Drosophila melanogaster: one gene and its partner. The protein of the gene in region 1 purifies or fractionates together with the protein of each later gene. This does not show direct contact. Each region holds a gene or a part of one and is shown on either strand. Other genes may lie near its edges.

Region 1 (5,611 bases):
TTAGCTGTAGCAATGCCATATATATAAACACACATATCTATACCAACATCTTTTTGTTTCTTGCAGTTTGGTGACTGGAATACAAGATGCAGATCTTCGTTAAGACCCTCACGGGCAAGACCATCACTCTTGAGGTCGAACCGTCGGATACTATCGAAAATGTCAAAGCCAAGATTCAGGACAAAGAAGGAATTCCTCCAGATCAGCAGCGTCTGATCTTCGCTGGCAAGCAGCTGGAAGATGGCCGCACCCTCTCTGACTATAACATTCAGAAGGAGTCCACTTTGCACTTGGTGCTCCGCCTGCGTGGTGGTGCCAAGAAGCGCAAGAAGAAGAACTACTCCACTCCCAAGAAAATCAAGCACAAGAGGAAGAAGGTCAAGCTAGCTGTCCTGAAATACTACAAGGTACACACAACAATCTACCGACACCATACCGAAAACATTCTGATCTGTTCTTGGAATTCTTGAGTCTTGGTCTTGTGCTCATTGGCTTAAGATTTGGATATCAGAGTGACTTTACCAGTGCCCTATATTGAATGAACATGTGTACGATCTCAGTATTTAATCACTTTCTATGCTCTTTCCTTTCCATAGGTTGACGAGAACGGCAAGATCCACCGTCTCCGTCGCGAGTGCCCTGGTGAGAACTGCGGCGCCGGCGTCTTCATGGCTGCCCACGAAGATCGTCACTACTGCGGCAAGTGCAACCTGACCTTTGTCTTCAGCAAACCAGAGGAAAAGTAATTTTGCTACATAAGATCATGTACGTTTCCAGAAATCAAATAAAGGTAGTAATTGAATAATAAATTCAATCGCTGAAATTTTCCTTTTTTTTTATTGTTAGTTAGCACTAGCGTGGTTAGTAATTGTTTAGCAAAACACTAAAGTTTCATTTAGGGTGTATGGTTTATTTGTGAAAATATTGAATACATTTTGTATACTCGATTTTTACTCGACCTTGAGAAATGCAATTTGTTTATGGTTAACCACTCAAACGTTAACTATGTCGACGTTAAGGCTTTTGGACAAGAAAGTCAGTATATCGGTGGCTTCCTCGATTCTCTTCGATGTCGGCTTGCCAGCGCCATGGCCCGCCTTCTGGTAGACGCGCAACAGAACGGGATTTTTCTGGAATTCCGAGTCGCGAACAGCTTCCTGGAGGGCCGCAATGAACTTGAGCGAATGCAAAGGGCTGACACGATCGTCGTGGTCGGCGGTCAGGATCAAAGTCGATGGGTATTCCGTTTCGGCGCCCTTCGGAGTGTGCACATTATGCAGCGGCGAGAACTTGTACAGGTTGTCAAAGTGCTCCTTCTCCGATGGGTTTCCATAATCCGAGCACCAAGCGTGGCCAATGGTGAACTTGTGGAAGCGCAACATATCCATGACACTATGAAATCAATATATTTCTCACTTGGTCACAACAAACAGGCTATCTACTTACCCAACTTGAGCCACAGCAGCTCCAAACAAATCCGGACGTTGGTTGATACACGAGCCGACCAAAAGGCCTCCGTTGGAGCCACCTTGGATGGCCAAACGATCCTTGGTCGTGTACTTATTCTCGATCAAGTACTCGGCAGCTGCTTGGAAGTCATCGAACACGTTCTGCTTGTTCAGCAGGCGACCGCCGTTGTGCCACTTCTCGCCATATTCGCCACCACCTCGCAGATTCGGATAGGCGAGCACACCATCGAATGTGTCGATGAACATAAGCCTGCAGAGATTGAAGGATGTGTTCACATATATACATGCTAACTTTTAAAAAGTATTTCTCAACATACCCAGAGAGTCCGAAGGAAGGCAGCATGCTGATGTTGAAGCCTCCGTATCCGTAAAGCAGACATGGTCGCGGCTCAACACTATCACGTTTTTTCCTAATTATGAACATGGGAACCTTGGTGCCATCCTTGCTCTTGTAGAATATCTGCTCAACGGCGTAATCCTCGCGACGGAATCCTTCCAAATTCAGTTTGATTTCGCGGAATACTGATGGCGACTTGTCAGGTGTCTTGAAATCATATCGATAAATGGAGCCGGGATTCAAAAAGGACGAGAAGTTGTAGAATATTTCAGAATATTTCTTCTCTCCCGATGTGCCTACAATGGTGCCGATATCCAAGTCGAATTCGCGCAGTAGGGTGCCATCCTTTAGGGAATTCACTTGCAAAACGCTCTGAAGAACGAATATGGAATGAGGCATATAGATGAATGACTAATAGGTTATTATTTACCTTCACATCCCTGATGTAACAAACGAGCAGTTTATCATTATCAACGCACTTAACCCAGTCCAAAACATCCGACTTGTGCTCCTATAAAACGTATAGTAGTCGTGATTAATCTTATCTACGTTTAAAAACAAACTAAACCTACGGCTATAAGCGTTTCCCATTTGTCCTCCGCTGAATTATTGAAGTCTATGGCAATAACTTGGTAATTTGGTGCATTCTTATTTGTACGGAAGAATATCTTCGAGCCTTCATTGGTAATGTACTGAAATAATGATATAAACATGTATACATTACTATTTTAAAGACTGTGAAAACATTACATACATCGTAGTCCGCCTCGAATTTTTCCACAATTTTCTTGACATTCAGTTTGGAAGTTATTTCCGCACCTGGCGTAAGATCAGCATAGAACACAATGTTGTCACGGCAATCTTTAACAATGGCCAGAATCAGGTATTTTCCACAATCCGAGACGGTGGATTGGCTAAAGTTGGAAAATTGATTATAATCTATGTTTCAACACCATACAATTTAAGATCATTACATGCGCCACGAAGGCTCTTCCGGAAATTCGACCACCAGTGTGTCTTTATCCTGGCTCTCACCCACCCGGTGATAGTACAACTTTTGATTCTCATTCTGTTTGGTCTCAGATCCATCGGTTTTTCCATCTTGGTCAGGGTATCTCTAAGAAATAAACGACTTGAATTTGAATTACCAGGACGAAAGAGTCCAGTACTCACACCATAAAAGAATCCCTTATTGTCTTTTGTCCACGAAATCTCCGAGAACTTGACCTTTTCAAGGACCTCGCTCAGATCCTTGCCCGTTTCGGCATCTCGAATGAGAATCTTGATCCAATCGGATCCACTTTCACTCAGGCCGTAGGCCATGTACTTGCCATCCTCGGAGAAGGCCTTCTGAGTCAGGGCGATGGTACCGTCCTCGGACAGGGTGTTCGGATCCAGGAACACCTTGCTTTCACTCTCGTCGCCCAGCGATTTCTGCTGGTACATGACGCTCTGGTTTTGCAGGCCAGTGTTCATAAAGTAATAGTAATAGTTGCCATAACGCATGGGACATCCGTATTTGGGATAGTTCCACAGCTTGGTAAGCTTCGTGTTCAGTTTCTTCCACTCCTCTCCATTCTCGAGGAAAGGCCGGCTTATGCTGTTCTGGGCATTCACGAATTCCTCGGTTTCCGTGGAGTCCGGATCTTCGAGCCAGCGGTACACATCCTTGATCTGGGTGCCATGAAAGTCCTCTGCCACGCTTTCATCCTTCCGAGCAACTGGATACGCGAGCTTAGCGGACAAAGTACTTGGCATGGCTCTGGTAACTTTGTTGGATTTATTACACGTATGAGAATATATGTATTAATCTTTCGCTTTTCGGCTTTTGCAACTCATCCCCATTAGCTATATATATATATGTGTATACTTACGATTTGAAGGCAATTCTCGATGAATGTAATTTCTGGGCAGCGTTTTGGGTACAACTATTTGACAAATTCGGCGGTAGAGCAGCGGTCCTCGAAAAATGGTATGCATTTGCAAAATTATCAATGCAAAAATGGGACACTAACTTGCGATAGTTTCGATAGGTGTTAGGGGCACTCCTTAAATTTTGCTACTGCGAACTATATATCGCCGCCTCCTTATAACTAATTTAAAAAGAAATTTCTCTTGTAATTTTACATATTATATTATTATTTATTTAAATATTTGAATGCTCAAAACGAGATGCTATGACAGATTTTGAAAAACATTTTAATATATAGGTAAACTTAGCAACTGTTAGCTTTTATTTACGTATTCGTGTTGAAATCAATCTTGATTAAATCTTAAAACCACTGTTTAATTTAACTATAAAATACAATAACAACTGGTGAAGCAATATAAACCAAGTTCCTTTAGTCGGTACGAAATGCTGCACCAAGGTAGTAGCTTTATTCTTGAAAATATACCGCACACGTATAGAAAATACCATTGCTTTAGTTTTAGAAATTCATGCAAGAGCACCCCCAATAAAATACCGCAAATGTCAGGTGTGACACAGCCAACTGTGGCTCGAAATTAATCGGTCCGTGAACAGATTACCTCTGTTAAACCATATGTTTTGGTATCGGGAGGCGAGTCGAGTCGGAATATAAACACAATCGAATCAAGTCAAACGGACCGAGTAAATGAATTGAATTGGAATTCCGCGCTGTTTTTAGTTCGTTTAATTTGTTAGCCACCAGTAAGCGCTTTATTTGTTCGGTATGTAGCTTTGCTTGAACTTTTCGTACATCAATTGTGCTGGGAAATCGAAGTTTTCACAAATTTTCCTTCCATATGTATGTTTTTCTTGATCAGCAACTTGTAGGCGCATATGGATGTACCTAAGCTTGTATGCATAAACAAACATTTTGAATGTATTAACTTAGCTAACTAGTTATTATGTTGATCTAAAAGGTAATACAGAACTTATTCAGTTTTATACAGTGCAGTTGGATTAGTAGTATTAGTTCATAACAATGGGCGATTTTCTACGGGTTTCCTATGACATCTATTTATTTTCGCTGAGTTAACAATTTTGTTAGAAGTGACCTTGTAACTAAATATTTTGTTGAGTATTTCATAAGGTGTATGACTTAAGCACGGCCTTCTAGATAATATCCGGGTGTTAAATATATTGCGAATTTAATTTAATTCACATTAATTGTTTTCAGATTGCAATATGATTTCCGAAGTGGACTCCATAAATAAGGATAGTTCAGTACGTGTTGCTGTCAGGTAAGATTATTACAATTCAAAAAACAATAACTATGACCATAAAAGAGCTTGAAATTCTAAAAGTTTAAATTTGAATATCTGTTAAGTGCGCCTAAAAGCATATAATATTGTATATTTTTTCAGAATCCGACCTCAAAACTCGAGGGAGCTAATAGATATGTGTCGTATCTGCACGACCGTCACTCTTGGAGAGCCTCAGATTTTTCTTGGATCTGACAAAGCCTTTACGTTCGACTATGTTTTTGATACCAATTCCAATCAGGTAAAGTTGTCATACTAATTTCCACCTTGTCTTAAGTTTCATTAGCCTTTATTAACCATTTCAGTGTGATATATACTCGGACTGCGTGGAAAAATTAGTAGATAGTACCCTCCATGGCTATAATGCCACCGTACTCGCCTACGGGCAAACAGGATCGGGAAAAACGTATACAATGGGCACTGGTTTCGACCACGAGTCGGAGTCATCCGATTCCGTTCAGCTTGGCATTATTCCACGGGCTGTTCGTCATATATTCAGTGGTATCGAACAACTGGAGGGATCCAGCACTTCAGAACATCCAGCGGCTGGTGGAAGTCCGCAGTTCAGTTTGGCTGT
Region 2 (5,961 bases), on another chromosome or scaffold:
TGGCGGCTTGCTCTGGTACTGGTCCTTCTCCGGACTCCACCTCCATGTTCTCCACAGGCGCCGGTTGATCCTGCGACAGGGACTGAAAAGCGCGGGCCAGCTCGTTGCGGAGCAACTCTGAGGATATGGATCCGCTGCTGATGGCTCCACTGCTGCTTCCTGCGCCTGTTCCCGCTGCTCCTCCAACGCCTGCTAATGGCGCCGAGGTGGTTCTAGGTCTTTCATCACCCTGCACGGCCTCGTCCGCGTTTCTCTGCGCAATATTCGACAGTGAATTAAACGGGGTCACGTTAGCCAATGCGTTAGCCAGTTGCTGGCGGCTAATCTGACGGATGTTGGCCATCTCATCACGCCGATTGGCGGCCGCGGCAGCTGCCACGGCTGTGCTGCTGCTTCCACCACTGCTGCTGCTGCCTGCACCCAGAGAGTTTTCCTCCTCTGACGAAGTAGTAGACTCCGAAGCAGCTTGCTCCTGCACTAAAAAGGAAGAAACGGGTAAAATATACAAATCAAGAATAGATACGGCATTAGTTACACTGCGTGGCCGAGCTATTTCTGGCTAGCTCCTTGCGAATGGTGTCCACTATGAATGGAGCGGCCTCGCAGATGAGGGGATAATCTTTAACGAGATTTTGGACCACTTCCGGCTCGTGCAGCATGTTGAACAGTACGGAGTCGCGAATAAGGGCCTGGGCGCCCAGATTTCGCCTAAATTCCGGATACTCAGCGAGTATCTTCTGCAGAATGTTGAACCGCGAGGTAACGCTGATTTGCAGGTGCGAGGTCAACGAAAACAGCTCTTGAATATGCTTCGTGTTGATTTCGGCGGCGGCTGGCGGCACATACGGCGAGTAACGTTTAATCTTCTGAAAGCAGTGGATCACGGCGTTGGGCTGCAGCGTTCGGTTGAGGGTGTCTGCGTCCTCCAGCACGCGTCCGTGGTGGATGATCTCTGCAAGTGCGCAGCAAATGACTTGACACAATAGAGACAATGGACAGCGATTTGAATCCCGAGGGTCACTCACCCAACTCGCTGGCGTCGAATTGCAAGTGCATCTCTTTGGTCACCACCGCCTTTAGGTAGGCCACATCCCGCGTCAGATCGATGTTGTGTAGGGGATGCACATCGCTCAGCTTGTTCTTCAGAAGCGCGTACACGGTATGCATAGTGCGTTGATGTAGAATCTGCGTAATATTTGTAATTCACTATTTTGTCTGGGTGATTTTGTTTTGTTCAAAGACAGTTCGGAACTGGTTCCAACGAACCGCCTTGAACACAGGGTGACCCTTACATGCCCCGATAGCCCGAACCAGACTGATCGGGTCGACCGACGATTTAAAAAAGGCTAAAAAAGCTAGATCTAAAAATACCGCTCTAGGATTGCTGTCGAATTTTCAACATAAGTGTTCATTTGTTGACAATAAGAAAACGTAACTTTTGCTATTGTTTTTGTTTTACCTTGTTCAAGTCATTTCATTTAAAATGTACTGTTTTTAAAGCCATTGAAATTCAAGGTGACCCAAAATAAAACCCTCAATCCCTATCGACCTATCGATTTTTGACAGTTTCCGCTCCAAATATGTTAAATATACGAGTTGTAAAATGACCTCCCAAGAAACGCAGACTGAGGGTGAACGTAGGAGGGTAACTCTTCCATCTTCGACACCAGATAAAGGTACACCATCCAAAAAAGGCAGCGAGGAGCCCAACCGAATTTCGAACACAGAGTTCCAAAAAAGAGTAACATCGGACAGAAGCGATGAGCCGGTCTTCAGCTGCCAATTCGAAGTGTTCGGCATTGTGCAAGGTAGGGTATTCACAAATCGTATAGTCGCAATAATTAGTTATCTGGCACCAACAGGCGTTTCATTTCGAATGGTAAGAGCTTGCTGGGAAATGGGATCTTCAAAACCCCTTTGAGCTATGGATTTTCTGCTACCTCTTATTGTATATGTGAAATCTCTTTACTGTAATCCAATTACCATGTTTTAGTACACCTTGCGAAGAGCTCAAAAGCTGGGAGTCCGGGGTTGGTGCAAAAACACCAACGAGAATACGGTGAAGGGCGAAATTCAAGCACACCGACATTCCTTTGAGTCCATGTGAGTGATTTTTTCCATTCAACGTTTAATTATCAAGCCGTTCTTTTACAGGCGCCTCTGGCTAAAGCACACCGGCAGCCCCACCAGTCGAATTGACAAATGCATTTTCAGTGAGACTACAGAACTTTCAGAATTCACGTTCACTAACTTCTCCATAGTGGTGGATTAGTTGTTCTCTAAAAGCTTAAAATCATTTAGAAACGGAATTGAATTTTTCTTACACACACTTATACAGTATTTGGATATGAGCTACAAATTTTTCTATTGTTATAATATTAAATCTAACTAAAATGCAAATAAATTAGTCCGATATTTTATAGTAAACGAGCCTTAAACCATTTATGGTAAGTACATTTATTTTTAAATTCGATTGTTTTGTTAAACAAATATCGACTAGTAAGACCGCGCTTTGCAAAAGGCAGAATCTCATTGGATTGGGTGAGATAAGTGGGCCGGTGACTGGGTCGTAGCTTCTTGTTTAATTTCAATTCAATCCTCGAAGCAACAGGTTGTGCCGCATCTTTTCCATTTAATCTGTTACTCAAGTCTGTTTTAGTGTACAAGTTATCAAAAATCAATACAAAATGGTCAACACCAAGTTCTTAACGTTCAACAATGGAGAGAAGATGCCCGTGATTGGCATCGGCACCTGGCAGGTATTTATAATCACGTTAATTCTGTAATTTCATAGATTGCTTGTAAGTGGTTAAATGGATAGTAGATATTCGAATCTTAATACTATTGTTTCAACTTATTAATGACCTCAACAAATCGCTGACACGTCATTTAAATCTCTTGAAATTCCGATTCCGATGCAATCAACAATTTGGTTGGTGCTGGGGGACTTTAGACCGGTTTTCAAAAACAAACAATAAACCACCATTCATATCCACTGGTGGACTGGACTTTCTCTGGTCACGGGAGAATAAATATCGTTGTAAATCGAGTTTGAAGATTTTCGGGTAGTGTAGATTATGCAAATCCTATAATCAATATATATACAATACCACTAAACCGCACTTTCATCACCACAATGCAGGCATCTGATGAGGAAATCGAAACCGCCATCGATGCGGCTTTGGAAGCTGGGTATCGCCACATAGATACGGCGCCAGTCTACGGCAATGAGAAGGCCATCGGAAGAGTCCTAAAGCGTTGGCTGGACGCCGGCAAGGTCAAGCGGGAGGAGCTGTTCATTGTGACCAAGGTGCCACCCGTTTGTAAGTAGCATTTAGTAGTTGGATGGTATTTCAAAATGCCATATAAACATTTATAAATAGTTCCTATGTTCTATGCCCACAGAATCTTAAGATCCATAGAAACCAAAGCATTTTACACCAGCTACCAATATTCTTTTTGATATCTAGTTGATAAAATAAGACTAGGAACGTGATTTTAAAACACCAACATAGACTCCTTCAGTGTTCATAATTTCAATTTAAAAACATTTTTATTATCACCACATGACTCTTTGATATGATAAATGAACCTGATGTGAATGACTATAAATATAGCTGTGAGAGTTTTCACTATTACGAGTCCAGTTATTTCAAAAATAATATAATAATAATATAATCCTTGTTTTAGCCAACCGCCCCCACGAAGTTGAGCCAACCATCAAAAAGTCACTGGAAGATCTGCAACTGGACTATGTGGACTTATATTTGGTGCACACTCCCTTCACAATTAATATCAACGAGGACGGAAGCTTTAAGGTAGTTGTGCTACGGAATCTAATCCCAACTCCTATACACATCTCGAGCATTAACTTTCAGCTCGACAAGGAGGGCCTAATGGAGGTCGACGTTACCACGAACCACGCAGCCATCTGGGTTGCTATGGAGGCCCTGGTGGAGAAGGGTCTCACCAAGTCCATTGGGGTATCCAACTTCAGCAAGGATCAGGTGGCCCGTCTGTTGAAGAACTGCAAGATCCGGCCGGCCAACAACCAGATTGAGCACCACGTTTATTTGCAGCAGCGAGATCTGGTCGACTTCTGCAAGTCCGAAAACATTACCGTAACTGCCTACTCCCCGTTGGGATCCAAGGGAATCGCCAAGTTTAATGCTGGAGCGGGCATCGTGAGAGATCTGCCGGACCTGATGGACATCCCTGAGGTGAAGGAGATTGCCGCAAGCCATGGCAAGACGCCAGCGCAGGTCCTCCTCCGCTGGATTATCGACACTGGTGTATCCGCCATTCCCAAGAGCACGAATCCCGCTCGCCTTAAACAGAATCTGGACGTCTTCGATTTCGAACTGACGGCCGAGGAGGTGGCCAAGTTGTCTAGCCTGGACCAGAATATTCGAATCTGTGACTTTGCATTCTTCCATGGGTATAAAAATATGACTTAGCTTTAATCCCTCTATTTTATTTATTTATTTATTTTTATTTTGTTTACAGTGTGGAAAGGCATCCTGAGTTTACCTTCAAGAATCAGTACACGAACTAAACGGCATAGCTATATAAAAAGAATTCAAATGAACGCAGTAAATTCTTTTCCAAAACATTACTTTGTGTCGAAAGTATAGAAAAGCAACCATTTATTTTGTAACAGTTATAAAAAAAGTAATTACTCGCAATTCGGTCATTATACACAGATAAAATGTAGTTATGATATTTATATACAAATTCTTTACTGGTTTTCTTTGGTATTCAACAGTTGAAATGTCTTGGTTTTCGTTACGATTTTCAGCTCAACAGGTTTTCCCTCTATGACAGACTTTCCATCCGTGTTATCGTTCGTTTTTATTATACTGTCGTTAACAGTTTCGTTGACCCTTCGAGGAATCGAGCTGGAAAACCACTTTCAAATTCAAAAAAGCTTGCATTCAGCGGTAGTTAGTTAGTACAGAAATATATTTGCAAGACATTTTGTATCTAAGTTTAAACACATCACAATTTTACATTAAGCAATTAGTAGCGAGCACGATATCGGTACTTGAAGGCTTTGGAAATGTTTCGCGACTACAAATAATTCGAGGTACATTTTGTATGTAAGAACACTAAGATCGATAGAATAGATATTAAGGAGCGCTTGCTGCATAGACGGAATATTGAATAATATCATAAAAATCAATGTTCGCAAAGCGGTAAGATTAGCAACTGAGAAACGAACAACAATAGTTAAAGGAAGCTCCAGCCTATGTCTAGGTTATGATATTCGGGCCAATCTCATTTTGATTGTCAGGTATTTGGCCACACAGCTTATGTTAGTTCGCAGTTCGAGTATTAAAAGGAAATTCGTAGTTTCTGGTCCATGCCAACTCACGTGGTCCGCTCCTCGTCCGTACTGTTCCTGAAATTCAGCAAAGGATTTTCATTAAATTAAGATATAACAAGGAAGAAGTAAGTAGCTTCGGCAAGCCGGAGCTTATATACCCTTGCAGTATTTATATACTCTTACTCTTGACGGCGGTATAATAAAATATTCTTTTCTGGACCGTTTCTGCATTGAAAGAAAACTTTTGGAAATTTTTCCTTGACGGACAGACGGACATGGCTAGTGAATCCCTGCATTGTAGACTTCTTACTAAAATCCTCTGCAATGGTATAAAAGATTTTAAATCTAAATAAGCATGCCAGCAAATAACTCACTTTAATCCCTGCCGCACAAGTCTGATGTGGTTCATACTTTGCATGCAAATTAAACAAATTCATCGAATTTGGCTTGGGAAAGTCTAATTACCTGGGCTCTTGATGACTGCGCATGGCCAGCGTGGCCACCTCAAAAAGGCCGATGAAGAAGCAAAGCATAAGGGGTCCGAAAATAGCTCCTTGCCAACCGATCCAATACATTCCGCCTGCTATGGCCAGGCCGTTGAGGTAGGGATGTCCACTGACAAATGTTAGCAAAAT

Evidence for each region. The genes of interacting proteins can lie anywhere in the genome.
Region 2: the proteins of CG5355 (region 1) and CG2767 purify together in Drosophila melanogaster (affinity purification with mass spectrometry, with the first as the bait; one large-scale study listed by BioGRID). This does not show direct contact.

The regions. Positions count from the first base shown.
Region 1 is NT_033779.5:10,409,645-10,415,255, forward strand, and holds CG5355 (uncharacterized protein), read right to left. Parts: upstream 3,820-5,611; 5' UTR 3,787-3,819; coding exon 3,681-3,786; intron 3,576-3,680; coding exon 2,980-3,575; intron 2,924-2,979; coding exon 2,781-2,923; intron 2,721-2,780; coding exon 2,561-2,720; intron 2,499-2,560; coding exon 2,379-2,498; intron 2,318-2,378; coding exon 2,237-2,317; intron 2,179-2,236; coding exon 1,787-2,178; intron 1,720-1,786; coding exon 1,447-1,719; intron 1,393-1,446; coding exon 993-1,392; 3' UTR 893-992; downstream 1-892. Other genes in the region: RpS27A (ribosomal protein S27A), read left to right, coding at 87-407, 597-746; Klp31E (Kinesin-like protein at 31E), read left to right, coding at 4,958-5,013, 5,137-5,275, 5,340-5,611.
Region 2 is NT_033777.3:8,004,694-8,010,654, reverse strand, and holds CG2767 (uncharacterized protein), read left to right. Parts: upstream 1-2,544; 5' UTR 2,545-2,687; coding exon 2,688-2,759; intron 2,760-3,142; coding exon 3,143-3,323; intron 3,324-3,690; coding exon 3,691-3,818; intron 3,819-3,878; coding exon 3,879-4,438; intron 4,439-4,506; coding exon 4,507-4,555; 3' UTR 4,556-4,731; downstream 4,732-5,961. Other genes in the region: CG3223 (uncharacterized protein), read right to left, coding at 1-477, 536-952, 1,026-1,167; CG11052 (uncharacterized protein), read left to right, coding at 1,604-1,808, 1,863-1,879, 1,994-2,103, 2,155-2,272; CG2698 (uncharacterized protein), read right to left, coding at 4,739-4,898, 5,375-5,401, 5,792-5,941.